Linked DNA regions of Rattus norvegicus. The protein of the gene in region 1 binds, or shares a complex with, the protein of each later gene. Links are inferred from orthologs where the notes say so. Each region holds a gene or a part of one and is shown in the gene's direction. Other genes may lie near its edges.

What was found.
Region 2: Lin9 (region 1) and Tfdp1 share a complex: the UniProt entries of both Homo sapiens proteins name them as parts of the DREAM complex. The link is inferred for Rattus norvegicus from reciprocal best matches to the Homo sapiens genes LIN9 and TFDP1.
Region 3: Lin9 (region 1) and E2f4 share a complex: the UniProt entries of both Homo sapiens proteins name them as parts of the DREAM complex. The link is inferred for Rattus norvegicus from reciprocal best matches to the Homo sapiens genes LIN9 and E2F4.
Region 4: the proteins of Lin9 (region 1) and Mybl2 are in contact, whole or in part, in a crystal structure (PDB 6C48), measured with the Homo sapiens proteins. The link is inferred for Rattus norvegicus from reciprocal best matches to the Homo sapiens genes LIN9 and MYBL2. Residues at the interface, in NP_001353174.1 of Homo sapiens: Lys356, Gln385, Arg386, Tyr388, Ala389, Thr390, Val392, Leu393, Leu395, Glu396, Asn399, Leu402, Asn403, Leu406; in NP_002457.1 of Homo sapiens: Trp663, Ala667, Cys668, Gly669, Gln674, Met677, Gln678, Ala681, Arg682, Leu684, Leu685, Arg687.
Region 5: Lin9 (region 1) and Rbl2 share a complex: the UniProt entries of both Homo sapiens proteins name them as parts of the DREAM complex. The link is inferred for Rattus norvegicus from reciprocal best matches to the Homo sapiens genes LIN9 and RBL2.
Region 6: the proteins of Lin9 (region 1) and Lin37 are in contact, whole or in part, in a crystal structure (PDB 7N40), measured with the Homo sapiens proteins. The link is inferred for Rattus norvegicus from reciprocal best matches to the Homo sapiens genes LIN9 and LIN37. Residues at the interface, in NP_001353174.1 of Homo sapiens: Lys99, Ala101, Ser102, Gln103, Lys104, Ile105, Gly106, Arg108, Leu109, Arg110, Leu112, Leu113, Lys114, His119, Trp121, Cys122, Ile123, Glu125, Trp126, Phe127, Thr227, Leu237, Phe238, Leu272, Ser273, Asn274; in NP_061977.1 of Homo sapiens: Tyr95, Ile97, Leu99, Phe100, Asp101, Arg102, Val104, Leu106, Ala107, Phe109, Ser110, Glu111, Asn112, Thr113, Pro114, Leu115, Tyr116, Ile118, Cys119, Arg120, Trp122, Met123, Asn125.
Region 7: Lin9 (region 1) and Tfdp2 share a complex: the UniProt entries of both Homo sapiens proteins name them as parts of the DREAM complex. The link is inferred for Rattus norvegicus from reciprocal best matches to the Homo sapiens genes LIN9 and TFDP2.

What each region holds. Positions count from the first base shown.
Region 1 is NC_086031.1:94,930,386-94,934,510, forward strand, and holds part of Lin9 (protein lin-9 homolog), read left to right. Parts: intron 1-245; exon of another isoform or gene 246-326; intron 327-860; coding exon 861-994; intron 995-2,236; coding exon 2,237-2,356; exon of another isoform or gene 2,357-2,357; intron 2,358-2,612; coding exon 2,613-2,714; intron 2,715-4,125. UniProt on the Homo sapiens protein: Acts as a tumor suppressor. Inhibits DNA synthesis. Its ability to inhibit oncogenic transformation is mediated through its association with RB1. Plays a role in the expression of genes required for the G1/S transition.
Region 2 is NC_086034.1:82,900,190-82,904,898, reverse strand, and holds the start of Tfdp1 (transcription factor Dp-1), read left to right. Parts: upstream 1-1,732; 5' UTR 1,733-1,918; exon of another isoform or gene 1,919-2,541; intron 2,542-2,727; 5' UTR 2,728-2,790; coding exon 2,791-2,802; intron 2,803-4,709. UniProt on the Homo sapiens protein: Can stimulate E2F-dependent transcription.
Region 3 is NC_086037.1:50,086,898-50,089,970, forward strand, and holds part of E2f4 (transcription factor E2F4), read left to right. Parts: coding exon 1-175; intron 176-792; coding exon 793-1,011; intron 1,012-3,073. UniProt on the Homo sapiens protein: Transcription activator that binds DNA cooperatively with DP proteins through the E2 recognition site, 5'-TTTC[CG]CGC-3' found in the promoter region of a number of genes whose products are involved in cell cycle regulation or in DNA replication.
Region 4 is NC_086021.1:172,130,952-172,135,076, forward strand, and holds part of Mybl2 (myb-related protein B), read left to right. Parts: intron 1-356; coding exon 357-428; intron 429-1,809; coding exon 1,810-1,902; intron 1,903-3,373; coding exon 3,374-3,594; intron 3,595-4,125. UniProt on the Homo sapiens protein: Transcription factor involved in the regulation of cell survival, proliferation, and differentiation. Transactivates the expression of the CLU gene.
Region 5 is NC_086037.1:32,089,803-32,093,927, reverse strand, and holds part of Rbl2 (retinoblastoma-like protein 2), read left to right. Parts: intron 1-419; coding exon 420-550; intron 551-2,476; coding exon 2,477-2,677; intron 2,678-4,125. UniProt on the Homo sapiens protein: Key regulator of entry into cell division. Directly involved in heterochromatin formation by maintaining overall chromatin structure and, in particular, that of constitutive heterochromatin by stabilizing histone methylation.
Region 6 is NC_086019.1:94,937,166-94,941,956, reverse strand, and holds the start of Lin37 (protein lin-37 homolog), read left to right. Parts: upstream 1-1,512; 5' UTR 1,513-1,685; coding exon 1,686-1,719; intron 1,720-3,117; coding exon 3,118-3,193; intron 3,194-3,399; coding exon 3,400-3,450; intron 3,451-3,761; coding exon 3,762-3,791; intron 3,792-3,870; coding exon 3,871-3,956; intron 3,957-4,038; coding exon 4,039-4,205; intron 4,206-4,791.
Region 7 is NC_086026.1:105,751,014-105,755,138, forward strand, and holds part of Tfdp2 (transcription factor Dp-2), read left to right. Parts: exon of another isoform or gene 1-1,118; coding exon 1,119-1,281; exon of another isoform or gene 1,282-3,467; coding exon of another isoform or gene 3,468-3,470; coding exon 3,471-3,614; exon of another isoform or gene 3,615-4,125. UniProt on the Homo sapiens protein: Can stimulate E2F-dependent transcription.

The sequences.
Region 1 (4,125 bases):
CTTTTTTAATAGCTTTAATTTTGCCTTCAGTGCCACTGTTCTTATGATTTTCACATGTGCTGTCCCTTCAGACTGGAGTTTAGTGATACTGCCATTCAAGCAAAGGCAGGAGGATCAAAAGTTCAAGGTTATCCTTAGCTGCTTTGTAGGTTTGAGAGCAGCCTGGGATATACATGAGACCTATCTAAAGTTGAAAATAAACTATTTCTTTTTTTTTTTTTTTTTTTTTTTTTTTTGGTTCTTTTTTTCGGAGCTGGGGACCGAACCCAGGGCCTTGCGCTTCCAAGGCAAGCGCTCTACCACTGAGCTAAATCCCCAACCCCGAAAATAAACTATTTCTAATATGTTGCTTAAAAGTATTGATATCCAGGGGGCTGGAGAGATGGCTCAGTGGTTAAGAGCACTGACTGTTCTTCTAGAGGTCCTGAGTTCAATTCCCAGCAACCACATGGTGGGTCTCAGCTATCTTTAACAGGATCCAAGCCCTCTTCTGGTGTGTCTGAAGACAGCGACAGTGTACTCATTTACATAAAATAAAATAAATAAATCTTTAAACAAAAGGAAGTCTGATATCCAGAATTGTTTTGCTAGTTTTTTAGGCGTTTGTACTCTAAATGGTGGTCTTTTCTTTATCAGGTTTGTTTGGTAGCTATATGATTTCACTTATATGTCAAATTAAGAATCATTTTAATTTTGTTTTCGTTTAAAAAACTATTCTCTAACCCTAAGATAAAGTACATAGTCATGTTAAACTAGTACACAGTGACACTATGTTTTTAAGGGTTTCAACTATATGCTTAGAATAGTTTTATTTCGCAAGTGTTTGTGTGTCCTAAATAGAACACCTGTTTCTCTTTCAGCACGATTACGTGGCATTCACGATGGTCTGTTTACTGGTCAGATAGATGCTGTGGATACTCTTAATGCTACTTACAGAGTAACTTTCGATAGGACAGGGCTTGGGACTCACACCATTCCTGACTATGAAGTTCTTGTGAGTAACATTTTATTAAACTTAATTAAAATGTTTTATAGTGTGTTTGTATTTTTTGCTTTTAAATTATTTTAGTGTTTTCTTTAAATTGTCTTGTATGAGAGAAGATTTGAATTCAAAGAAGAGAGCCTTAGGATTTCCCAGCCCTATAGACTAGATCCCTAGAGAAGACTGTACTTAAGTCTCATTTCCAAAAGCTAGGGTCCCTTCCGTGTGCTTTAACCATGCAGCCCTTGCTAACAGGATTGTTTCTGATGAAATAATCTTGGAACATACACATTTTCATCCTAAATATAAAATAGGAAGTGACTTCTTGGACTTTTCATATTTTTCTCCTGTTTTATTCTCATATTCATGTAGAATCAGTACCTTCACCTTTTAAAATTACTTTTGAGGGGGGGTCGTTTCGATAGGGTTTCCTTCGCTTTCCTGGAACTCACTCTGTAGACCAGGCTGGCCTCAAATTCACAGAGACCTGCCTGCCTCTGCCTCCCAAGTGCTGGCATCAGAGGAGTGCACTACCACCACCTGACTATAAATTACATTTTTACGTGTGTGTGCGTGTGTGTGTTTGCATGTGTATATGCATACTCACACAGTCCACAACACTTGTTTGGAGGTCCAAGTAAGTACAACCTGTGGGAGTCATTTCTCTTCTACCATGTGACTCTTAGACTGGTCTTCTGGTTTAGTTGCTGGTGCCTGTACCCACTGAGCAGCCCCACACTTGACGTTTCCATGATGAAATTGCCACAGTGTCCATTAACTTATTCAAAGCTCCAAATCTGGGGTTTCGTTTGTTTGTGTTTTTGTTTGTTTATAAGTCACTTGGAGACTAGAATCTAGGTGTTTTGATATTCCAATACACTGCTGAGGTACTTATCAGTCTTGATTTTGTAAGGTGTAAATTATGTGTGCATTCATGAGTGTGCATGTGTGTGTTCATACTCGAATTTGTGAGTGTCCTTTGGGTTTGGTTTGAATCCAGGGTTAGTGATCACTGAACCACTGAGCTATATCCCCAGTCTTACACTCTTTTTAAGTAAATAAATAAAATGACTGCTGGAGTAATGAGTAATTACAGTGTAGTGAGTGCTTGCCTAGCATGTGGAAGACCCTATAGGCTCCTAAATAAGTAAATAAACTTTAGGACTATAACTGCACTCTGGACTGCTATATTTTAAATTGATATACAGTGCTTATAAATTCCTTAAGTTTTATGGATTATTCTCTTCTTTCAAGAGTAATGAGCCTCATGAGACAATGCCAATCGCTGCCTTTGGACAGAAACAGCGGCCTTCTCGGTTTTTTATGACCCCCCCACGGTTACATTACACCCCTCCTCTCCAATCACCAATTACAGTAAGTAATGCAGAGATGCCTCAGGAATGTCACTGTTGTGAACGCAGTCTGTGCTCTCGTGTAGCACACATGACAGCTACTTCAGGACTTGAGCTTCCTGCATCACATTGAACTGATTGGCAGCTGTTAAAATAAGCAAATAGTTTCTCCAGTTCTGAAAATAGTTTCCTCAGTACTGGCTTTTAATGTGCTTTTAATAAACAGAGTGTTCACTTTACACACAGTCAGTGATTAGATGATTCCTTTCGACTTTCAGGATGGTGATCCCTTGCTAGGACAGTCGCCTTGGAGAAGTAAAATTTCTGGCTCTGACACGGAGACGTTAGGAGGCTTTCCAGTAGAATTCCTTATCCAGGTGGTAAGTTGCTCCAAATGCTTTTGTTGCTTGGAAACTGAATGTCTTCAGAGTTGTTAAGGTTGGAGTCTTTCTGTGGGTCAAACATCTTTACATATTATTCTTTCAACCACTGTGTGGTTTTCAGGATTCTGCTATTTATTTCCAACAATTCTTAAAACAAAATTATAATACCCAAAAATAATTTGAGTTACCTGGTTTTCCTGTTTTAGATAAGAAATTACTGTTACTTACTAAGTACTTAGGGATTAGACACTAAGAAATCTAAGTCTAAATTACAGAAGCATTATATGTAACAGTCTTTCTGAATAGTCTGACTTGAAAAATGTAATGAGTTTGTTTGTGTGTTTGTCTGTTTGTTTGTTTGTTTGTTTGTTTGTTTTTCTGGAGATAGGGTCTCACTGTGTAGGGCTGTTCTGGAACTTACTATGTAGACCAAGCTAGCTTGGAATTTACAGAGATTTGCCTGCCTTTGCCTCTGTGTGCTGGGATTAAAGATTTGTGCCACATGCTTATTTGAGTGATTGCTTTTGAAAATTAGATTAAATAAGGCTGATAAAAGAAGCAAGCCTGAGATGCTCAGCAGGGTGCTTAAGAGTTCACAGCCAGCCCAAGCTAATAGCTAGATGCTTGACTCTGACAGAAAAGGAAAAGAAGATTACATAGTTCTGTTAAATAATTGTCTAGGAGGCTGTAGAGATGGGTCAGTCAGTGGTTAAGAGCACTAACTGCTCCTCCATAGGACCGGGGTTCAATTCTCAGCACCCACATGGCAGCCCACAACTGTCTAGAACGCCAAGATCTAACACAGACATACATGCAGGCAAATCACAATGCACATAAAATAAAAATAAATTACTTGAAAAAATTATAGTCCAGTATTGTTTTGAGGGTTTTTCCCCTTTTTTTTTGAAAATAGTATTTTAGTCTGAAATGGTCTTTTTTAAATTATTTATTTATTTATTTATTTATTTATTGAGCTGAGCAATGATGGCACATGCCTTTAATTCTAGCACTCTGAAGGCAGAGGCAAGTAGATCTCTGAGTTCAAAACCAACCTGGCCTACAGAGAGAGCTCTAGGGCAGCCAGGGCTACACAGAGAAATCTGTCTTGAAAAAACAAATAAAGTGCACACACACACACACACACACACATTGTTTGTTTGTCGAGATTGTAATGCAGTTGAATTATTGCCTTCCTTTTTCTCCACTCAAGCCCTTTCATATATCCTCTCTTGCCCACTCAAATTCACAGTCTCTTTTTCTTTAATTGCTGGTGTGTGTGTTTGTGTGTGTGTGTTCCCAAATATATGAATACAACCTACTAATTGGTATGATGTTACTTGTATGTTTGTGATTTTTTAGAGCTGACCTGAGTTTGGTGTTGGACAACCACCAGTTGGTGTAATTATTT
Region 2 (4,709 bases), on another chromosome or scaffold:
GCTTCCATCAACGGCAATAGGCAGTGTCTGCTGGTGCGGTGGCTTTGCATGGGTATTGGGTGCTGGGAACTTATGTGTGGAGAACTTCAGTTTTCAATCCTAGAGCACGACTGTTACCCGATAAGGCTGGCCCGCTCCGCTCCCTGGAATTCTTCCAGTGGCCGGGACCCACGTCTTCACGTCTCTGCCCCTTCATAGCCTTCTTCAGTCCTGGCACTTTACCTTCTCTAAGTGTCTTCCCATTTCTGTCTGTCGCCCCACCACCTGTGTGCTGCTGCTCTGGACCTGTTTGCTCCCCAGAACTCTTCAGACTCCCCCTTGCTGCTGTCACTGCTCTGCTGATGCTCTGTGGTTTATCTCTTCATATTACCAGTCTAGCTTGTAAACCGTCACCTGAGAGGAGTTCCTATTGGATGAAAGACTCTCCCAGCTTACTGAAAAAGTTAGCCAAATAGCTTGTTTATATAGTCAGAAATGGGGTGTGGCAAGGATGTTTGCACCAATCACAGCCTTTCTGCTCAGCCATTACAGATGCTTCCCCCTCCACCCCACCCCCACCCCCTCCCATCCTGGGTGAAGATGGTTACTAGAGCTTACTAAAGCTTGTGATGGTAAGAGGTCTGGTGCAAGCTATTGAGATACTCATGCCTTGGGTATTGCCTTCTGGAACGGTAGCTGTGCTTTAGCAATAAGCTGCTGTGGTTACAGTGTTGCTTCCTCAAAGCAGCTGAGGAAGAGTTCTAAACAGGACAGCAGCTTGAGGACTGTTCAGTCAAATGCTAACTCGTCTGACCAAGGAAGCTAGGTAATAGAGAAAGATCTGTTTGGGAGTCAAATTTGGCTTCTCCACCCCTCAGAATAAAATTTGGTCGCTCACATTAACAGTTGTCTGATAGTACTGAACAGCGCTCTGGTCTTTAGTCCCATATGCTTGGGAAAAGTTGGGTCATTTTATCTGAACCACTTGGACTGATTTGCAAGCCACAGTCTATTCTTCTCCCAGGCTCTCCAGCTTTAGTCTTACACATACATACACACACACACACACACACACACACACACACACACACACACACCTGTCTTTCAGGCTGCTCCCTCTGACTGCCCAAGTTCAGGCCCTGTGGCTGTGGAGGTCAATAGTTGAGCAGAGGTGGGGGATCTTGTCTCTGCATTGTCCAATATGCATCCTAACAGCCTTTACTTTGTTCTGTATAAATGTACAAGACTCCTCCCCCTGTGGTGCACATGCAGGTACTTTAAAGCACGCTCAGAACTGGTCATTTTTTTCCCTTGTGTGTACACACTCACCTATTCTTTTCAGTGTGCAGGCATTAAACATAGGTATCCATATTTGTATGCACAGAGGGTTCTCTTCTATATATACGTCCAGGCATGCACACACACGACTCATACTCCATGAATACACACGTGTCTGTATAGCGAGACTATGGATATACACAGGTGTGCACACATCATCCTTTCCCTATGTGTACATGCAGGTATGGCACACACCACAGACTTTTCACCGTTGGCGCGCGTGGCACACACACATACACACAGAGGCAGACACGTGGCCCTCTTCTCCCTGCGCATGCACACAGACATGCATACAGTTGGCCCTTGGTGTACACACACAGAGGCGCGCACACACGTGGCCTCTCTCCGAGCGCACATGGAGGCGCGCGCAGCGCTTTTCAGCGTCGGCGGCCGCCACACGCGCACGCGCGCACAGGTCCCTCCCCTATCCCAGGGCGGGTAGCACCGGCGAGAGGCGCGGGAGATGAGCGGCGGGAGGAGGAGGAGGAGGAGGGCGCCGAAGGCGCGAAAAGGCGCGCAGGCGCGCTGCGCGGAGCGGGCCCGCCGCCGCCCACGTCACCGCGCCGCGCGCACGTCACGCCGGCCCGACGCTCGGCCCAGGGTGAGCCCGCGTCCCGGCGCCGCTGGCTCAGGGCAGGGACCGCCAGGGCCGGACCTCCGGGCCGGCGCCCCCGCGCCCCCGTCGTCCGCCCCGCGCGCCCCGCCGGCCAGCCAGGTGTGGCGGGGGCACCGGCCGGTCGCGGCGGGAGGGCGCGGGCTGGGCGCGCGGCCCCGTTCCCGCCCCAGCCCGGTTCCCGCGTCCGGTCGCATCCCGCCCGCCGCCCAGCCTCAGCCCGGAGTCGGCCTCGACGCGGCGTGGCGTGGGCGGCAGGCAGGGGTCCTGGCCACCCTCCGGCTCTGTCCGCGCCAGCGCGCGAGGCTGGTGGCCGGGCCTAGTGACAGGTGGGGCGGCCGGGCGGCCGGGAGCCCACCTGTCAGAGTGGTCGGCGGCACCTCGGGGTCTTGGGCAGCCCCGGGGCCTGCTGCAGCCCGGGCAGAACCACGCAGTGTCGTGTGCCTAAGTGGGGGGCCTTGTGACTCGGTGGGGCCTGTGGTCAGGCGGGGCCCGCGTGCCCAGGTGGGGTGAGCCTGACGGCTGCGCCTCGCTCCGCCAAGGGGCCGGGGTCTGGCCCCTCTGCGGGTGGGAGCTGCTGGTGCCCGCAGGGAGCATTTCCATTTGGAGAGGTGACTTAAAATCCCTGTGTGGGACCTGCTTGGCTAGCTCTCCTGTTGGGATTGTGCAAGAAAGGCCCCTGCTGCCTGGAGGCCTGCCTCGTGCTGGTGGGGAGATGTTTCCTTTGAAATGCGATGTGCGTTAAACTTCTTTTTTTTTCATTCTCATTCATTACTCGTCCCCTTCCTTTTTACCAGATAAGTCCGGTTTCTTCTGTGGAGGGTACGCAGTTAAAGCCTTGATTTCCTGGATCTGGTAACATGGCAAAAGATGTAAGTATGAGTTCTGCATGCTGCAGACATGTTAGCATAGCTCGCTGCAGTTCTCTCCCTTTATTTGAGAGTGGCCATACCTGCGTGGCAGTGGTTTGCTCAGACATTTTACAGGCAGGAGCTGGGATGGAGGTGAGGGGTGGCCAGTCAGTAGGTGGGTGCCTCCCCTCCGCACAAATGTTCTTTGTCATCTGAAGCCTGGCACGTTTTTTTTTTTTTTTTTCTTTGTGGTTAAGATGATGATGTCTGGATTTTTCTTTAATCTATCTAAACCGCTTGAATACAAAATTTGTGTTTGAATGCATCTCCCAGTTGAAATGAACGTGTGAGGGGGGTATTTTGCTAGTGGGTTTCCACGAAGGAGAGCTGTCAGCATGCAACTTACGATGCATTATGCATGAAACTTAACTTGTTTTATGTAGTATGTAAGACCGTAATTCCACTTTGATGGGTTGAATCCCAACTACTTGTTTGGGCACATTTTTCTCTCAGAAAGATGACGTTTGGTGGTTAATGAAACACGGAAACGCTGGTTGGTTAAGCTTCGTATTTACTACAAAGCTACTGAGCATTTGAAATTTCTTTTTTGAAATGGGTACTGACAGTTAGGCTTTTAGGGGGCAAAAATACAGTCTGTGATTTTGGTCACATACATGTTCGCAGTATTACTTTATAACTCCCTCCAACACTGATCGTGCCTGTGCCAGTGTTTCAGCATTCACTGTCCTTTGACTATTAGATGAGTGTAATTTTCTGTGCAGCCCTGAAAATGCAGGCAGATAATACCACATCAGCTAGACTTGTACCCAAGTGCACTGAAACTGTGGCGCAGGTACCGAGTCTTGTCCTGACTTAGAGGCCCAAGGATTTAGTCATGCCTAGTGGCCCACCTGGATCAGACGGTGTCCGTCTTATGGTCATCAAGCACTGGACCTGCTCTTGGGAGTCGAGTTCCACCCTGAGAGACCGTGTGTAGGTCACCTGAAGTCACAGCTGTATGTGGCGTGGGGCTCGATTTCGTTATGTCTGTTGTTTGCCTGCCTCCACGTCCTGACTCTTCCCCCCGTGTGTGCCTAAGGAGAGACGTGCCGCTCAGTGCGTGCCCACAAAGTAGCTAGGTCTGGTAAACGGTGTGTAAGCAGGGCACTGGCTCCCGTGCCTTCGTTGAGACCCCATGGCCTGGTGTGGTTTCGGGGATCATTGCATCTTCTTCAGTGATCTTCAGTGAGTCAGCATGCTCCAAGTCCTGTCACCTCAGTTTTGCATCATGCACTCCTGTGTGCTGTGTCCCTGGGGAAGGGGTGGGTGGGTGGGTAGACACCATGATGGCAAGTGGTCAGGATGTCCTATCCAGTGGAGAGTGTGAGGCCAGCTGGTTTGGGGTTAGCCATTGTGGTATGGTGAGGCCAGTGCTGTGACTGGGTAAGAGCGCTGCTGCTTTGTCCCTCCACAAGTGCGCACAGACCTGGGCAGAGGCGAAGCGGCTCCCCCTGTTCTCTGGCTGGAAGTGGGGGTTGCAGGGTTGGGCCTTCCCTGTGCTTTTTCAGTAGGATGCAGTATTGGGGTTTGGAAAGGGACTTTGTAACCTGTGCTGAAGGGTAGGAAAGAGGCACCACTGGAGCTGTGTAAGCACTTGATGCTTAAGACGAACTCTGGCTGTAAAGTGCACTGTCGACATGGGGCTCGGAAGGCCATGACGCTGGCGAGAACAGAGGGGCAAAAGTCACGCTCTAGGTCTCAGAAAGGGCAGACAGAAGACAAATAGCTTAGGGGCTTTTCTGCCCCTGCTGGTGCCCAGGCAGAGCATCGAGTATGTTGGGCTCCCTGTGGACTGTGGGCTATGGAATGGGGCAGGCAGGAGCTGGCAGACGAGCAGTGGTAGAGGGGTGGTCTGTGCCTGCAGGTAC
Region 3 (3,073 bases), on another chromosome or scaffold:
GACGATCTACTCCAGAGCCCACCTGCTGTGTCTACACCTCCACCTCTGCCCAAGCCTGCCTTAGCTCATCCCCAAGAAACCTCTCGTCCAAGCAGCCCCCAGATAACTACCCCCACTCCTGTCCTTGGCAGCACTGAAGTCTCAGATGTGGCAGGCCAGACAGCTGAGATTGCAGGTGAGACACTATGGTAAGGTGTGATGGATTATTTTTTTATTTTTTGGAGCCTACAAGAAACTGTGTCATGGCATGCTATACTGAGAATTAGAAGTTCCTGGGGTCCCCACTTAGCTTTCCTTGGAGTTACAATGAATGTGCCCCTTTAAATTACTCTGTTCATTTATTTGTGAGGGGGACACATGCTACAGGATGCATGTAGAGGTCAGAGGTGATCAGATGACAACTTGAAAGAATTGGTTCTCTCCTTTCATATTTCTGGGATTTGAACTCAGGTCAGGTTTGTCCATGAGTGTCTTAATTCACGAGGATCTCACTTGCCTGAATATGCCCTTTCTAACAAGGAAGCTTTGACTATATAGGCAGCATTAGTAGGGTAGTTTATCCCAGATTGGACAGTGTCTGATGGATCCTGGCAACCCCATGAGTCTCCCTCCTCCAGGACATGTGCTCTATCTTTAATGATGTTTTCTAGTGCTTCTTGGTAACTAGTGGTGACTAAGTCTCCTTGGATTTGGCTACCAGCACTGTGGTCATCCTGGTCATAGGATCTAGCCTATGGCAGGTGTAGGGTCTATTTCCTGACTCTGTGTTTGGGTTTGGGGATGTGGTTGCAGTGAGTGGTAGCCCTGGAACTGAGAACAAGGGCAGTGGTGAACTCAGTTCACTCCCACTGGGCCTGACAGCACTGGACACTCGACCTCTGCAGTCCTCTGCACTACTGGATAGTAGCAGCAGCAGCAGCAGCAGTAGCAGCAGCAGCAGCAGCAGCAGCAGTTCATCTGGACCCAACCCTTCTACCTCCTTTGAGCCCATCAAGGCAGACCCCACAGGCGGTGAGTACTTACTGAGGGGTGGGGGCCAGCAAGGAGAGTCTTGGAGCTGGCAGTTCCTTTCCTGCTAACCTCTGCTCTCTGCCAGCCAGACAAGGATGCCTAATCTCCAGGTCAGTGCCTGTGCCTCTTGCCCGTTTCTGGGACTTCATCCCCCCTCCTGCCACCACTTGGAGCATCACTAAGCCTCACTAATTGAGATTTGCTGCTCTTCGTACTCACCTCACCATTCTGTTTTCCTTTCTACGTATGAATGCCTTTAAAAAGTAATCCTTGGTCACCCGTGTCTGTCAGCTAATCCTCCACCACAGGGCTGTAGCTGTGCTGTTCTTGGTGTAGTACCTGGCCCAGCAGGTTTCTAAGAGTCTAGGCCTGGTGCTTTCTTGGTCTCTTCTGATGCTCTTTCCTCTGTCTTCACTGTCAGCTCTTGGCTTTTCTGCCTCACTGGCATCTGATACTTCCTTAAACATTGGTACTTACCATTTTATATCTGGGGTGGGCCTCAGCTCTAGGGAGCTGATTTTGAGTTTCGGCCTCTACATAGTCTAGATCTTTTACCCAGTCTCCTATACACCTGCCATAGACGACTTGCATATCTGGTGGACACCTCAACTGAACTTAACCATCCTGCTTCCAGTTTGCCTTTCAAGTTCTTTGTGGACTCTTATCAGCTAGCTCTAATCACCAACAGGCTTGAGATACCTCTGTATCATCCCAGTTCTGCTACCCACCTTACATGGGTTAGGTAAAGTTTGTGAAGTCTGTATGGGATTAAAAGATGCGTGCCACAGCCAGCTCTCTATATTTTGACCATTTACAAAATGACCCTCTTTGCCCTCCTAGTACCTTCTCATCCCTCTTACATCTTCAGCACACCAAAAACTATACACCATTTTAATTTTAGATTTATAGTAATCTTTTAGAACATTTTATCTATATCTTATTTATCTACTGGTAATTTCAGATATCTATACAATGTGGGGGTGTTTTTTTTTTTGTTTTTGTTTTTTGTTTTGTCCTTTTTAAGACCGGGTTTCTATGTAGCTGTCCCAGAACTTACTCTGTAGACGAGGCTGGCCTCTGCCTCCTGCCGTGTGGGATTAAAGAATGTATGCCACAATCAGCTCTTTTTGACCATTTACAAAATGACCCCCTTTGCCCTCCTAGTACCTTCTCTTCCATTTTCATGTTCTCTTCATTCTAATTAGCACTCCATGTATGCACAGATCCAAAGAAAAGTGACTGCCTCTTTTCCAGCTAGTTGGATGGCTTGGTCTTGTATAGATACCATAGATGCTTGTGAGTTCACAGTACAATGGCCATGTTGTATCCAAAAGACAGTATTTCACAACACTCTTCCCATCCTATGGTTTGTACAATTTTTTTTTCTATGTTGTCATTTAAATCAAAGAACCAAAACAAACAGCCAAGTTTGCCACCTCCCCATCTATAATGGCTGCGTCAAAACACTGTAAAAAGGAAACAGATTGGAATGTCTGGTGAGTTCTGACTCAGGAAGCAGAACATCAGAATGGCCTGTTGTGAGACTTTACTTATGCTTCCTCAACAAACTGGCCTCTTGGTGATCTCTCTTCTTCAGTTCTACCCATGACTGCCATAGTAGGAGGCCTGGGATCAGAACCCACAGGCCACTGTACAATATTTCTGTATACCCTCTTTAGTTATATTTCCTGAACCTTGGGCTGAGCACTCAACCTAATCTCAGCAGTTTATCAGGAATTTCTGCATTGACTCCTGCCATTTTCTCTAAGCAACATGTAAGCATGAAAATTTAGGAGGCAGTTTGATAAGCATATTAATTAGCAAGGCAACAGTACTAAGTTCTCCCCTAGGATCAACGATCTCTCTAGCTATGGACTTTTGCAAGGTTTACAGTATCAGGCATGAATTATACCTGTGGGGCTGATCTCAAAGCCAAGTAAAGGGGTTGGTTACCCTCCTAAGTTATGCCACTATTGCACCAGAAGGCACATCTTCCCTGGTGGGTTGGTTTATTCCATGCAGGGGCTATTGCCTGTTAAACCCACTAACCCATCCTTTTTAT
Region 4 (4,125 bases), on another chromosome or scaffold:
ATGACATTGAACCTTGATCATCTGCTTCCCCCTCAGTGGCTAATCTGCCTCTTGTTGATAAGAGTCCTGTCACTGGCATCCTCTCCAGCCATAGCCTCTTCTCTCCCTTCTCCTCAGTTTAAACTGTCCTCCTGGCTGAAGAGGCGGTAACCGTAGCTTTAGCACAGGGTGTCCTCCAGCGTGGAGTGGCTCTGCTTCTGTTTGCCTGAGGCTTTGATTGGCATCTCTGACTAACACTTGGCACTTAGTAGGCACTCAGTTCCTGAGTAATGCATGAATATGCTGTTATCACGGCATCTGTGAGACTTTCCATACATGTGAGCTAAGCCAAGCCCGTGTCTTTCTTACCTTGGCAGGATGAGCTACTGAGGGCCCTGGTGAGGCAGTTTGGACAGCAAGACTGGAAGTTCCTGGCCAGTCACTTTCCTGTGAGTATTGCCCCTCCCCCAGGGCAAGGATTCTCTGTAAGCCCTCTCTAGAAAGCTTAGAAAGTGTAGGTGAGGTGAGGCTGGGAGGCCAGGCTTCCTGTACTACGCTTGGGGAGGCAGAGGCAGGTGGATCTCTGAGTTCAAGGTCAGCCAGGGCTACACAGAAACCTTGTAGCAAAACCAATTTATGTTTATTCCTGACTAGCTTACAAATAAAGGAGACTCAGACTGTGGTTATTATACTTGGCTTTGACAATTATGGGGGGGGTCACCCCTAATCTACCCTTCTAACTGCAGGCCTGGGTACTTCCCCAGCGGTGTACCCCAGATACTTGCTGTTTCTCCTGGCCACGTGCTCATGGTTCCTCTCCCCTCCTAAAGGCTTCTTTCTCCTTCTTCTCCCTCTCCCTCTGGTCTCTCCTCCTCCAACCAGGTCACTCCAAATCCACCTACCTCTAATTCCTCCAGTAATTGGCTATAGCCAATTTTATTTAGCCAATAGTTTTAAATTAAGGAACAAGGAGGTTTGCACAACAAAAGCTTATAAACCCGAGACGTCACTGCTAGAATTTAGCATTATAATATATAGCAGTAGACCAAACCTCAACAAAAAATAAATAAATAAATAAATAAATAAAAGGAAAATCAACCAAATAAAACAGGAAAGTTTCCCGGGAGATGACCTCACATAGCTGCCTTAGCGAATCTTAGTCTGGGGCCCAAAGGCAAGTTTGTTTTTCTTCCAGCAAGTCAGGAGCAGCTGGATACTTAGTTCTGGGCCCTGAACTTGAACCTAAGGGGAAGCGTCGTTTGAGCAGACTTCAAGCTCCTGCACGGTTTTAGTGCCACTACACTAACATGCAAAGTCTGTGGATGAGAGCTCCCTTCTACACACACCCTCCCCAGGACTGCTGGCACCAGGAAAGGCTGGAGTATCCAAGGCCACCACTGACTGCTGGGAGTTCCATAGGCATCCTGGGCTGAGTCATCACCCTTCTTTCTGCCCTCTGCCTTTTTCCTTGTAACCTGAGCTCTTTAAAGACTTAAAAAAAATGTTTTTTTTTTTTCTCCAAGAAGAAAGGAGGGATAACTAATAATTTTCACAAAACTTTCATAGACTCTTAGATAGTGCACCTCACACACACACACACATATACTAGGTTCACAGGATGGGAGGTTCCTTTCCACAGGGCCTGAGTTCATCCTTTAAAGTGAAGCAAAATTACTGTACCCATGTTCTGGTATATTGGCCTCTGGTGTGTGGTGGGTGCGTGGCACAGGACACAGCTACCTAAGGTGTGCTTGTACCCTGCCCCCTGAGCTCAAGGCTCAACCAGAGTTCAATCTTCTAGTGTCAGCATTCTTTCTGTTCCTGTTCTAGAACCGCACAGACCAGCAATGCCAGTACCGGTGGCTGAGGGTTTTGAATCCAGACCTTGTTAAGGGACCGTGGACCAAAGAGGAAGATCAGAAGGTCGGTGCTGGCAAAGGGACTGCACACACGGTGGGCTTGCAGGGAATCTGAACATCCCCGTACCATACAGCTTCTCCAGGGACTTGTGTGTGTTTGTGTAGTGAGAAAGGCCAGCTTTGTAGCTTGGCTGGTCTCATATTCATGCTGTAGCATAATCTGACCTAGAGCTCAGAGCGCTCCTCCAACCCCAGCCTTCCTAGTGCCAGGCCGAGTGGCCACCTCACTCCATGAATCATCCAGACAGCTCTTTGTTGTTGGTTGTTTTCCGAGACAGAGTTTCTCTGTGTAACCTTGGCTGTCCTGGAACACACTCTGTAGACCAAGCTGGCCTCAAACTCAAAGAAATGCACTTGCCTCTGCCTTCCAAGTGCCAGGGGCCACCACCATCCGGTGAGACTACCTAGCTTTTTTTTTTTTTTTTTTTTTTGGTTCTTTTTTTTCCGGAGCTGGGGACCGAACCCAGGGCCTTGCGCTTCCTAGGTAAGCGCTCTACCACTGAGCTAAATCCCCAGCCCCGACTACCTAGCTTTTAACTGGTAACCATACCTACCACATAGAACATCATGGACAGGTAATGGGTGGTCCACATAAGAGGCTTGCTTCGCTAGTGACAGCTGGCATTGAAGCTGTGATAATGTGGTAGACACGGTGACACAGGTTAGACCACACAAACACAATGCTCAGATGCCTGGTTTGAGGGTGCTTCACACGAAACCTGTCGCATGCTGGGTAAAGCTCTCTGTCACTGGGCTTCACCTCTCCTCTGATCCCTGCTCTAGGATTATTTTCTTTTTGAAACGGGGTCTCACGTTAGCTTGGGCTAGCCTCAGACTTTCCGTGCAGCCAGAACTCACTTAAACTCCTGCTTCTCTCCCCTGTGGGTTACAGGAGTTTTGCCACATTTGACATTCAGTGCCATATTTCCGTAGTCTCTCGGGGTGGGTTATTTGTGTAATAGGTGGGTAAATCAAGGCATAGAGAGGGATTGACATTCCCCAAACTGCGATGACCCTGGGCTGCTTTTTTTTTTTTTTTTTTTTTTTTTTTCTTTTCTTTTTTTCGGAGCTGGGGACCGAACCCAGGGCCTTGCGCTCGCTAGGCAAGCGCTCTACCGCTGAGCTAAATCCCCAACCCCCTACCCTGGGCTGCTTTTTCGGTGCTTCTTTAACCATGCAGAAATGAAATAGAATATTTCCACACAGAAATTCCTTTTTTTCCCTAAGTGTCTATTCTTGCCTGGTTTTGCCTGTGCACACATGGGAATACACGTGTTATCACACATCTTGAGGCCGTACACCACAGAAGTGCTGAAGGGATATATCCTGCCCTAGAGTATGGTGCGGGCGGACCTCTCACAGGCTTACTGTAGCTCTGTAAACTGCAAAGTGAGACCCACCGGGCTATCTAGACGTTTAATGGAGGGCGATGGAGGCGGGGTGGGGTCCGGTCCTTCACCGCTGTTCTCTTTAAGGTCATTGAGCTGGTCAAGAAGTACGGCACAAAACAGTGGACGCTCATTGCCAAGCACCTGAAGGGCCGTCTTGGGAAGCAGTGTCGTGAGCGCTGGCACAACCATCTCAACCCTGAGGTGAAGAAGTCCTGCTGGACAGAGGAGGAAGATCGGATCATCTGTGAGGCCCATAAAGTGCTGGGCAACCGCTGGGCTGAGATCGCCAAGATGCTGCCAGGGAGGTGAGGCCATCTCCTGGTAGGGAGGTGAGGCCCATCCTGGGATAGAGTGTCCCAGAGAACTGTGATCAGCCCTATGTGGTCTTTAACATCCAACCAGCCAGGTCTTCTAGAGATGTGCATTAAATGGAAATAGGTCCCTCAAGAATGGCCTGTCTAAAGAGACAGTACTAGGAAGTCTGGTTGAACCCTGTTAGGGGGAATCTGATGGGAGAAACACTAGTTTCTGTCCCCAGATGTTGAACCTGGGCTGACTTCTCGAACTTGTGACCTTGGCTTCACAAATGATACTAATGTGGATATGTACCACCATGCCTGGACAGTCTATTTAATGTATGTGAGTGTTTTGCCTACTTGTGTGTCCGTACCATGTGCATGCCTGGTGCCTGAGGAGGCCAGTTGTGAGCTGGTCTGTGGGTGCTGGGATCAAATCAAGATCTTCTGGAAGAGGGAATGCTGTTAACTGCTGCTGGGCTGTCTGTCTCCTCATCCACTGTGATGGTTTCCATCCTGGTTTTCAGCCATGGAGGATTT
Region 5 (4,125 bases), on another chromosome or scaffold:
ACAAGGGTGTCAGTATGGTAGGGTTCCTTGGGCATCTCTCTGTGTAGAACTGGCCACTGCCATATTCTCTCTCAGCATGTCAGTTGAAGGGAGGCACACGCTTTGTATGCTGGTTTATGACATCCTCAAAGATGAAGGCAGTCGGTATCAGCATTCCCTTCTGTGACCTTTGAGATTGTATAGCATCACTTTTACCTGTGGTATTAATAAAGACCATCATGTACAGGGGCATAAGACTCTGCCCTGCTTCAAGGTAAAGGAACAGAGACAGTACCATGCATGGACGAATGTCAATGTCACATACTAGAAGAGGCCGTGGGCAAGGGCCGTCATAGAAATATCACTTTCGATATGAATGCACGAAGTTTTCCATTGAAGCACACGGAAGTCATTAGCTAAAACTCTTTTTTCTCTTTCAGGGAAATGATCTCCATTGGTTAGCATGTGCCTTATATGTGGCTTGCAGAAAATCTGTTCCTACTGTGAGCAAAGGGACTGCTGAAGGAAACTATGTGTCTTTAACTAGAATCCTTCGATGTTCTGAGCAAAGGTAATTATGTTAGAGCTTGAAAAGTAGGATGCTGCTAAAATTAAGAAAGCTTAGACACCACACTGATAATGGAAATTCTCTCTGTTTACTATTTTCTGAGCATCTAACATGTACACAGCTGAGTGTAGAAACTGAGTTGTGGTTTCCTTTACCATTTCGGAGTCAGGATCGCAGTGTACGAACATGAGTGTATTCGTGTTGTAATGCATTAAAGGTTATAACTTATTGCCTAATATTGCTTTAAGTTTAAATAAAGAGACCGAGAAGCTTTTGAAGATACCATGGATTTAAAAGGTAAATAAATATAAATTATTAGGTATTCTGCATAGAACTTATTTTTTTTAAGATTTATTCATTTATTATATATAAGTACACTGTAGCTGTCTTCAGACACACCAGAAGAGGGCATCAGATCTCTTTACAGATGGTTGTGAGCCACCATGTGGTTGCTGGGAATTGAACTCAGGACCTCTGGAAGAGTAGTCGGGTCCTCTTAACCGCTGAGCCATCTCTCCAGCCCAGAACTTATGTTTTAATGCATGTGAAATGTGTAGTAAAATTGGACCTGCGTCTTCTCTGATCCTAAAGAAACTCCTACACACATCGTGCATACCAAGATGCTTATGGCAACATTCAAAAATTCATGGTTTTTTATGTGTATGCATGTTTGCATGTATATGTGTGTACCACATGTGTTCCGGTGCCTGTGGAGGTCAGAAGGCATTGGATCTCCTGGAACTGGAGTTACAGATGGTTGTGAGCTGCGGTGTGGCTGCTGGAACAGAACCTCAGTCCTCTGCCAAGAGCAACAAATGTTCTTAGCCTCTGAGCCCCTCTCCAGACCTGCACTATTTTATTAAAGGAAAATTCGAAGTAATCGGTCTCTGTTCATTGAGTGAATGCAGAAAGTTATTGAATGTTCATAGGAAGGAATTGTTTTAGTAATTAAACTTGTTAGATATTTCCATGTATTAACATTAATGAGCCTCAGAAACATTAAATGAAAACTAAGTTGCAAAATGCTACTTGTAGTGTGATACATTTTACATAAAATGTAAAAGCAAACAAAAGATTGGGGTTACATTTGGGAGGGGCAGAGAACTAGTTTAGGAAGATGTTCACATTAAAATTTTGTCTGTTTCTATTCTAACTTTAGTATTGTTTTAAATTTTTGGGGGTTCATTTTATTATTTCATGTGTACAAGCATTTTGCCTGCATGTATGTATATGGTACCATGTGTATGTTTGGTGTCCAAGAAGACATTAGATCCCCTGGGACTGTAGTAAAAGATGGTCATATGTGACCTTGTGGTTGCTAGGATTGAACCCAGGTCCTCTGTGAAAACAGCAAATACTCTTTTTTTTCTTTTTCTTTTTCTTTTCTTTTTTTTTTTTTTCGGAGCTGGGGACCGAACCCAGGGCCTTGTGCTTGCTAGGCAAGCGCTCTACCACTGAGCTAAATCCCCAACCCAACAGCAAATATTCTTAAGTGTGGTGAGCCATCTCTCCAGCATCGGAGTTCTAATATTTAAAAGATCTAAGGCAGGGTCATTGAGATGACTCAGTAAAAGCTCCTGTCACACCCAGCAGAAAAATCCAAGTGACACAGTCATGAGGAAGGCACCAGGCATCAATCTCAGTCTTCTGTGTGCATTGCCACATGTCAGCTACATGAACACACACACACACACACACACACACACACACACACACACACACACACACACACGGAATCCAAACCTGAGTAGAGTGGGTCAGGAGGTGGGAGTGACAAGGTAAAGGGTAGGAGATTAAGCTAACCAAAGGCATCCCTTTGATTTTATGTCATTGTCCAGATATAATTCAGTGAAATGATTTTGATTTACTTGTATTGGCATAACGTCACCTTTGCATTATTAAAGTACCTCGATTTGTTTTTATTATCAGCCTAATTGAATTTTTTAACAAGATGAAGAAGTGGGAAGATATGGCAAATTTACCCCCACACTTCCGAGAACGAACCGAAAGATTAGAAAGAAACTTCACTGTCTCCGCTGTGATCTTTAAGAAATATGAACCCATTTTTCAAGACATTTTTAAATATCCCCAAGAAGAACAACCTCGCCAGCAAAGAGGAAGAAAGCAGAGGTGTGTATCTATGCGTCTCTGGGAAAATGCTTTTCAAAGAGCTCCTCCTTAGAACCCGGGATTTTTTTTTTAAAGGATTATTTATTTATTTCAGGTATAGGATACATTGTAGCTGTCTTCAGACACACCAGAAGAGGGCATCGGATCCCATTACAGATGGTTGTGAGCCACCAAGTGGTTGCTGGGAATTGAACTCAGGATCTCTGGAAGAGCAGTCGGTGCTCTTAACCGCTGAGCCATCTCTCCAGCCCTCACTTGTTTTTTGAGATAGGGCCTTGCTATGATGTAGCCTTACAGGCATGGAATTCGCTATGTAGACCAGGCTGACCTCTAACTCAAAGATCTGTCTGCCTCTGCCACTGAGTCCTGGGATTATAGACTTGGACTATCACGCCTGACTTAAAAAGTATTTTTTTAAATAATAATTTGTTGTTGCTCTCTGCCGTATATTAGAGATTGCCTGGCTTCTTTCACAATCCAAAATGTTTGGGTTTTACACTGATATAGTTTTCCCTTTTTACTTAAGCAGTCAAAAGTGCAGGTTGCACAAGTCAGGCCCTAAGCACTTTTCCCAGTGGACTTCCCTGGTATTGATCAGATCCTGATGTTTTCTATTATTTGACCTTTACATCAAACTGAATAACTGTCCCTGGAGTGACTCTGATGTTCATAATCAGTCAACAGCAGAGAAACTGGGTTGGGTGAGAACAGGGGAATTCGACTACTGTGAACTTGATTTCCAGTCAGGTCTACAAAATCCCCTTACTCTACCTGGTTTTCTCTATCTTTTACAAGACACAGACTCCCCTCCTTTAATAGTCAAAGTTATTTAAAACAGAAAGGGAAACTTTTAAAGCTTCTAAGGAAATTTCCTCTTAAATAGAGCTACCACAGTACTCATAAGAAATGTACAAGAGGCTGGGTGTAGGTACACAGAACTGTAACCCCAGCATTAAGGAGTCTGAGGCAGGAGGATCGCGTGGACTGTATAAGATTCTGTTTCAGCCAAAAAGAGAAAATAAAACAAAGCAAAATCAAAGCCTCCTAAAATGGGGGAAGGAATGCCATTGTGTAGCCCAGGCTGGCCTCAAACTTGCTATCCTTCTGTATCGGCCTTCCAGGTTCTGGGATGACAGGAGTCTACTCTACAGGTCTTGGCACTTTCCAGCACTTTCCTGCTAACAGTCACACTATGATGCATGGCATGTGTCTGTGTGAAGGAAGCACTCTTCTCAGGTGTGAGCGTGAACACAGGACACACTTAGGAGTCTGAGCCTTGTTACGTGGGGAAAACAAACTTCCGGCGAGCAGGCGGCCCAGGCATCTGACAGTGGGTAGAACTGCAGAACCTGGACGCTTTACCATGCCAGCCCGGCCTCATGAGCATGACTGTGGCGTCGAGCTGTGACTGTGTCACCATGTGTTAAACACAGCAAGAAGCTACCGTT
Region 6 (4,791 bases), on another chromosome or scaffold:
GGAAGAATTCGAAGGAGGCGTCTTCAACAAGAGAAATATCCAGGAGCTTCTTTAGGAAAGCTTCCTTGACTTTCCTATTTTTTATTCTTGATTTAGTTCTGCTTGTGTGTGTGTGTACTTTTATGTGGTGCCCATGGAGACCAAAATAGGACACCATGTGAGTCCCCGTAACTACGGAGCTTAACAAGTGAACCAGAGAGTGAGCCATTTTTCTGGCATCTTGATCTTCCTATGCAAAGTGTCATGATTTTGGTGGCTCATGTCTGTAACCACAGCACTTGGCAAGCAGAGAGGCATGGTGGATTTCTGTGAATGCCAGGCAGCCAGGGCTATGTAGTGACACCCTGTCTCAGTATAATTTCAGCAGAGGTCTGGTAAGATAACTCAGTGGTAAGGTCACTTGCTGCTGATCCTGACTTGCATTTGATCCTCAAATACTGTAAGTGGTCCTGTGACCTCTACAGATATGTCCCTATCCCCCAGTAAGGTTTTTTTTTTTTTTTTTTTTTTTTTTTGGTCTTTTTTTTTTTCGGAGCTGGGGACCGAACCCAGGGCCTTGTGCTTCCTAGGCAAGCGCTCTACCACTGAGCTAAATCCCCAGCCCCGTAAGTTTTTAAAAAAAGCATACACCCAGCAGGTTGTGGTATTGGTGTTGTTAATCAGGCTGAGGCAGGAGGCCTTCTGGGAGTTCAAAGACAGCTTTGGTCACATACATAATGAGTTTCAGCATAGACTGAGCCAGAGTGAGGCAATAAATAAATAATGATAGATAAAGTCTCAGTCCCTACCTTGATGAGTATTTTTGCATATTTTTGTGTGCCTACTACATTTAACCGGATTTTTGGCTTGTTTATTGACTATCTTGTCTACACAATAAGATACATTATCGGCAAGAATTTTTGCCCAGTTTTCTCGTTACAGTGTCCTCACTATCTGAATGAGTACCCAGCACTTTTAATACTTAAATGAATGAGATTTTGCTTAAAAAGACACCTAGCGAGCTCTCTGTAAGAAAGGAGCCAGTGCATCTCTAGATTGGTCTTCCCGTGAGGGATCTCAGTGACTATGATAGCTCAAAGCTGTAAATAGGTTTACTGGCGCTACTTAAAATACAACACTACAGGGTTGGGGATTTAGCTCAGTGGTAGAGCGCTTGCCTAGCAAGCGCAAGGCCCTGGGTTCGGTCCCCAGCTCCGAAAAAAAGATAAAAGAAAAAAAAATACAACACTACAAATCCCAAGAAGCCTTTTGTTTCCCATAGTGCCCTGCGCGGCGCAGGCGCGTTGCCTACTTCTTGAGCCTCGGAAGTTTGAATCACAGTCCTCCTCCTTCTCTCCCCCGCCCCTCAGGTGCCTGGCTTGTCGTTGGTTTGTTTCCGGATACAGGGCCTTGGGAAGGTGGAACTTAAGGCTGGGAGCCAATAGTACAGGCTGTCAATTGGCCAGCAAATGAAATTGACGTTTTCATCAACTAGTGGGAAAAAGCAGTTGCCAAAGGGGCCCGCCTTCAGAAGGGAAAAAAGGGAAGTGCTGGCCAAGGCAGTCGCGGCAGGACACTGCTCAGGCCCGAGGACCAGTGGTACCCAGACTTACCTTTGACCTTTTCCTGCTCGCCTTCCGCCTCGCTTTTGAACCCCGCCTCCTCCAAGTTTTTCTGATCTAACGCATTAGACCTGGACCCAAATCATGTTCCCGGTAAAGGTGAAAGTGGAGAAATCAGGTGAGGACTGGGGATCGTGAAAAAGTGGACTGTGCGACATCTCTCTGCAGCCCATCTGACAGGATTCTCTAAAAAGGGTTCTTTTCTTTTTCTACCTCAGTTTCCCCATTTCTGACAGAGGGCATGAATCAGCAATTGTGGTGTGTCCCTCAAGTACACAATAGTCATTGCATTCCAATAACCTTAGCGTGTAGAGTGATGAATGGAAAATATACAAGGTGGGAGGAGTGGCAATGTGTGGGGACAAAGCGGGCAGCAGGGAAGTTAGGGCGGCTGGGGCAGTGAGGAAACGGAGGCAGAGAGGTGGGAGGGGAAGACACATCGATCTGTGGGGTCCAGGAAGGGACTTTCAACTTTTTCTTTGAGGGAAATGGGTAATCTAGAGAGGTTTTTGAACAAAGAGTGGGTTGGTAAAGTTGCACCCCAAAATGCAAAAAAGAAAACAAACTTATAGTCCAACAACTAAACTTGAGTGGAATAATTGCTAGTGGAGAGAGTGCTGTTTGTGTTGGCAGATGCCTTTAATCCCAGGGCATGGAGAGCAGACAGACTGATCTCTGAAGTCAAGGCCAGTTTGACCTACTTAGCAAATAACATGCCAACCCAGGGCTACATAGTGAAGAAGTGGGGATGTGTGTGTGTGTGTGTGTGTGTGTGTGTGTGTGTGTGTGTGTGTGTGTAATAGGGTTGTAGAATCCTTGAGGGTTCTGTGCTGGCAAAGATCAAAGCCACATTGTCTGTTTTGTATTTTTTCTTTGTTCTGCTTATTGTTTGAGAGAGGATCTTTGGTTGCTGAGGCTGACCTTGAACTCTTGATCTTCCTACCTCAGCCTCCAGTGTGCTGGGATAGCAGACCTATGTCACTAAGCTAGGCTTGGCCCTCTTTTAGGAAGGTTCTGTTGTCTGCTTTATAAAAGGAGGTGGATCAGAAAAGGCAACTGAGGCTAGGCGCTGGTTAGGAGCAAAAGGCAAGGTGGGGAGGGAATATATTGACAGACTCCTGCAAGCCAAGAGAGCTGAGACTGGGGTGGGAGAGGAGTACCCATGGTGAGTCCAGGAGCCTGTGGACGGGTGAGTCACTCCTCATGGTGAGAATCCAGGAAGAAGAGTGGGTTTAGAGAGGGAGGCCTCGGTGGAAAGACCCTAAGGGCTGTCCCGTGGAAGGTGTCCAGATCCTAGACTCTTGAGTAGGTGTTGGAGAGAAAATGGAGCAGTGAGCAGCCACACCCATGACCCCTGCCTAAGGCTCTGTCGCCCTGGTTCTGTCTTTAGTTGGTCTCTCCACTGAGTGGCACTAAAGTGGCTTTCCAAGTACCTGGACCAGACAGAACATAGGATCGCCTCCCACAGTGGATGTGGGAGGTGCACACAGAGCTGATTCCTAACTTCTGCCCTCAGAGATGGAGATGGCCAAAGCCCGGAACCAGCTGGATGCCGTTCTTCAGTGTCTGCTGGAGAAGAGTCACATGGACAGGTTGGGATCTGGTCCAGTCTGGGGAACCACAAGGGTGGGAACTGTTTGGACTGACTGATTGGGGGTTGTGGGGGGATCTGGATGGGAGCCTGGAGGCTGCCTTAGGGGGAAAACTGTTCCATGGTGTGTCCCATGAGAAAACGACTCAGTATCATCACAGGTTGGGTCCTTGATACCCTAAGCCAGTAGTGCTTTCTTGCTCCCAGGGAACGCCTGGATGAAGAGGCTGGGAAAACCCTCTCGGATACACACAACAAGTAAGGGATTCTGATGGGATTTAGACCTGAGAGTTTAGGTTTTTCCCTCTGCTAAGTCCCAACCATCTTACGTAGACATACCTGTTGAATAAGTGACTGACACTTTGAGAGGGTGGGGTATTGGTGGGATACAAGGCCCAAGGGGTACCAGTAATCCCCAGGGTGCCCATTTTTGTTTCTAGTGCTAGAGATAGAACCCCAGGGTGTGGGCAAACATTCTGTTACTGAACTATATCACTTCTGCCTTGGGGGGCAGTGTTGAACAGATGTTTTAAAGGCTCGGCCTGCTGACACCATGTCTCTCCTCGCAGGGATTGTTCCATTGCTGCCACGGGCAAAAGGTAAGGTGGCTGGGACCCCAGACCACCAAAAGGTTCCCAGTCCCCAGCTTGGGGCCTGACACTCACCTTAACCATACAGGCCATCGGCCCGCTTCCCTCACCAGCGGAGGAAGAAGAGAAGGGAGATGGACGATGGGCTTGCTGAGGGGGGTCCTCAGAGATCCAGTGAGTAGGCGGGGACTGAGGGTGGGCATAGAGCCAGGGACCACACTAGGGTGCTCATCTGTCACCTGCCTCACCGCCCCAGATACGTATGTGATCAAGCTGTTTGACCGGAGTGTGGACTTGGCCCAGTTCAGTGAGAACACACCGTTGTACCCCATCTGCCGCGCCTGGATGCGTAACAGCCCTACAGTGCGAGAGCGCGAGCGCTCACCTGGCTCACCACTGCCCCCTCTGCCAGAGGATGGAGAGGTAGGAGGAGTGTCAGGAGGCCAGAGAGAGCAGTGGGTGGCTAGGTCAACAACAACCCCATTCTTGGTAGATAGGTTTAATCTCTGGGCTCCTCAAGGAATAGAGAATCAGGTAGGATGCATTCTCAGGTAAGATTACAGGCAGGTCCCTAGGCCAGATAGATATGGCTTCCTAGGGACCCGGGGTTCTAAAAACATAAAGGGCTGGACAGGGATCTTATGTGCAAACATGTGGCTGCCAGATGGGGCGTTGGTGAGCAAATGTGGACCTTATGGGCTGGGTGGAGGGTAATAGGGATTTGGAAATCACCTGGCCTGAAAGGGTAGGCATGGGTCCCTGCGACAGACATACGACCTTGACTGTTGGAGCTATCCAGAGTAGACATGACACCCCCTGGACAATTCCTTAGAAAAGGCATCTTGACCACCCCTGCCCTTGGGCTGACAGGTGTAGATGGATTCCCTGGGCTTGGCAAGGGTAGACAAGGGTTCTCAGGTTGACAAGAAGACAGGGCTCCTAGAATAGCAAGACTGTCCTCTAGCTGGTAAAGATGTGTCCCTCTACTGTGACTTCTCCAAGTCCAGGA
Region 7 (4,125 bases), on another chromosome or scaffold:
AAAAAGAGTGGAGGAAGGGAAAATCTGAAGGCAGATGCAACTGGATCATCTTTATGAGTTTGAGGTTTGCCTTCTCTATGAAATGAGTTCCAAATTAGCCAGAGATACATAGTAAGACCCTGTCTCAAGAAATAAAAATTAAAAAAGAAACCTAGCAACTTGGGTTTTAGTTAATTCTAGATTAGTCACCCACAGCAGGAATGTAGGGAAGTGAAGGAAGATGTCCATTTGAAAGAACATGGTTAGTGCCTTTTCTGTCCATAACACAGAACATGTAAATAATTTGTTAATAAGTAGATTATGTTGATAAGCACGATGAGATGAACTCGGATTTGTTTGCCTTGTTAAGGCACAGCCTGGTCTTCATCATGTGTGTCATGGCTCACCCTGCATACTGCACTGGCTGACTCTGCCCTTCTTGTTTTCAGTAATTCATGTTTTCTCCATGCTGTTTCTGCTGCTTCTCCTGACCAGAGCTCCCTACCCCCCTCCTTTGGTCTTTACTCAATGTTGATGCCTCTCCCCACAAGTCATCTTCCCACTTCCCACAGAGCATCGTGAATAACTGTGGCCTGGCACTTCTCCCTTTCAAATTGTCTGCTGTTATGTATGTGTTTGATCATTATGCTCTAAGACTCATTGAGGGAAAGAATTTCACCTGCATTTTTATACTTCTGGTCCCTAAAACAGTTCTTGCAAATCCCTGATGCTCATATATTATTAGAACTAATCTGACCCCTCAAGTTTTAGTAAGAACTGAGATGCTGATGATTTAATGTCAAAGGACACATAGGTGTTAGCTAATGCATAGTCTCTAGGAAGGAGAGCTAGAGCTTTTCACAAGTTAATTTCTGGTGTCTAATAGTCACTGGCGTATAGCAGTAATTTATCAATACGTGCTTACTAAATGAATGACATTATAGAAAGCATTCTATGTATTGTTAAGCTCTTAAGAGAAAAATTAAATTTGAAAACATTTCCTTTATTCAGTCTAAACTTTGTTCACTTGAAAGAGAAACAAAGTGATTATTTTCCTGTTTTATTTTTACATAGTTTTGTAGAGGAATCTCTGAGTATAATGGAATATGAACTTTTTCATCAGCCTTTTTCTCTTCTAGTAAACGAAGCAAAAAAGGGGACAAAAATGGGAAAGGCTTGAGACATTTTTCAATGAAGGTGTGTGAGAAAGTTCAACGGAAAGGCACAACATCATACAATGAAGTAGCTGATGAACTGGTGTCTGAGTTTACCAATGCGAGTAACCATCTGGCAGCTGACTCGGTAGGTGGATTGTGGATTACACATGGACTATGGTTCCTAGATTCAGTACACCTATTGGTTTGTGACATGGATCTGAGGAACCAGGGAAGCTTAGGAATCCTCTGAGAGTTTCCTATTTATTTGTATGTATGTGATATGTGGGGGCACATGCATGCCATGACACATATGTAGAGGTCAGAGGACAGTGTTGCGGGTTCCTTTCCTTCTACCTTTACCTGAGGTCTGGAGATGGTACTTGGGTCATAAGGCACTCGTGGGAAGTGCTTTACCCAGCTGGTGCGTGTCGGTAGCCCACAAAGATAAACTTTTTCTTTTCAAGACAAGATTTCTCTGTGTCATCTGCCTATCCTGGACCTCCCTTTGTAGACCAGGCTAGCCTTAAACTCAGAGATCTGCCTACCTCTGCCTTCTGAGTGCTGGGATTAAAGGTATATATATCCCCACTGCCTGGCAATACTATTAAAATATAATATTGTGGTCATATAAATTTTGGGGCACTTAGGAGAGTGAAGCCAGCTTGCAGTATAAGGAGCACAAGGCTAACCCAGTCTACATAGTAAGACCCACCTCTCCCTCCCATGTTAAATCAACAAAAATAGAAAAGTTCAAAATCCTAGGATTTTACCCAAAAAATGATGTTAAATAAAGCCTACAATGTCAAGAATACAATATTTATATTCAATTCCATAATTTAAATTTTTTACTGATTTAGATTTATTTTATATTTCAATGGACTCAGTATTTCCCACTATCCTTTATTATCACATTCAATTGATTTGATTTTATTGTTAAGAACTTCCTGTGTACAAGAACCTCATGATACAAATCAGTGTAAATGTATTCATTCAATAAAAGTTTTATTACCAAAAGAAATGACAAGTTAGCTGAACTAATCAGTGTGCAGAGGTAGTACAGAAATATTTTGGGACATAGACTGAAAACAGCTAGTCAGCACTAGTCCATGAACCATATTCTAAGAGGCACAGTTCACAGACTTTAAAACATGCATCCTTGATGTGTATGTGCATATGTATGTTGTCTGTGTTGTATACACCTGCGAAGGCTCATGCGTGGGTGTGAAGGCCCATGTGTGGGTGTGAAGGCTCATGCGTGGGTGTGAAGATGCCGGAGACAACATTGGGTGTCTTGCTCTGTCAGTTGTCCCCTTATTTTTGTTTGTTTGTTTATTTATAGACAGGGTCTCAGTTTGCATGTCTGACTGGCCTGGAGTCACCATGTCGAACAGACTGCTCTTGCTTCTTCCTCCCAAGTGGTGGGATTAAAGATGTGGTACCATTCCTGGCATCCTCACACAAAGCCTGGGTTTCTCACTGAACTCGAAGCTTAATGATTGACTAGTTTGGGAGGCCAGGAAACATCTAGGATCCACGTCTTCACCGCCCTTGTATTGGGGTTGCAGACGCATGCTGCAGTTGGCTTTTACATGGGTGATGGGGATCCAAACAAGTATAGAATTCTTCCAAATAATTCAGGCACTTTGAATACTTTACCCCTCTATGTATACATGTGTTATAATATTAGTTTTTATATCTTGGACTTCTTAAAAACTTTATGCAGCTGAGATTTACCCTCATCTTTATGTTTTCTGCATCTCCAAGCTTCCAGTTTTAGTACTCTTCCCCCACCCAAAGATGTCCCCGTAGTGTTCTTGTCAACCTAGGGTGGTCTAGAGTTTGTTTCTGACACTCTTTTGTGTTACGGGTATCTTCAGGGCTGGAGCTGTCACCTAGTGGTAGAACATTCTTTTAGCATGCATGAGGCCTGGGGTTCAACCCTCAAAACAACCTTAAAAAAAAAAAAATGAAAAAAAATGTCTTCAGAACTGGTAAGATACCTCAGCTGACAAAAGCATTTTGCCACCAAGCCCGATGACCTGAGTTCAGTCATAAGATTCATGTGATGGAAAAAGAGATTGGGCTTCCACAAGTGGCCCTTGGAAGCTCTCCATGGACAATATGGCAAGAGTTTATGTCCACTGCCCCTCCCCAAATACACACACAAGTAAAGTGTTTTAAAAAAGTTTACCAGTGTCTTTGTTACATATTGACCTCCAAGATGTTTTCACGGGGCATAGAATTTTCCAGTAGTTGGGAGATACTACTGTTAATATCAACAGCATGTGAAGATAACCTTTAAAATTCATCCCTTAATAAAAACATTTTCAGCAGGCTTATGATCAGAAGAACATTAGACGAAGAGTTTATGATGCTCTGAATGTGCTAATGGCAATGAACATAATTTCAAAGGAGAAAAAAGAAATCAAGTGGATTGGGCTGCCTACCAACTCCGCCCAGGAGTGCCAGAACCTGGAAGTAAGTAGGAGCGCTGTCGGATGGTGGCTGCGCTCTGTTGTTTGCATGCGAGACGTTTTCCTTAAGAAATTTATCGTGAGATATTAAAATATTTATACTTGTTCATGTTTGCATTACTGTAAAACTCTGGGGAGTTTTGAGTTGGAAGAGTTTTGGGGATACAGTTTGCAGTTTATTTTACAAAACCTGGAACTGAGGAAGAAAATGTCAGCGAGTGGTTTGGTCATGAAGGCGACGATGGCATATAACTAATCCGGGCACTTGGGAGGTAGGAGGAGGATCAAGGGTCAAGACCATCTCAGCTGTTTAGTTCAAAGCCAGACTGAGTACATGCCCCGTCCCAAAACAGACCAGCACAGAAACCGAACACAAAAACCACAACAACAAAGTTAAATGAGTGCATTTCATTTTTGTTGTTTCTTAGAATGGATCTTTATTTCATTCTAATTTAAATCTAAGTATCTGCCAATGAATTTTTGCTAGGTCATTTAACAAATCTAATCTTGATTAA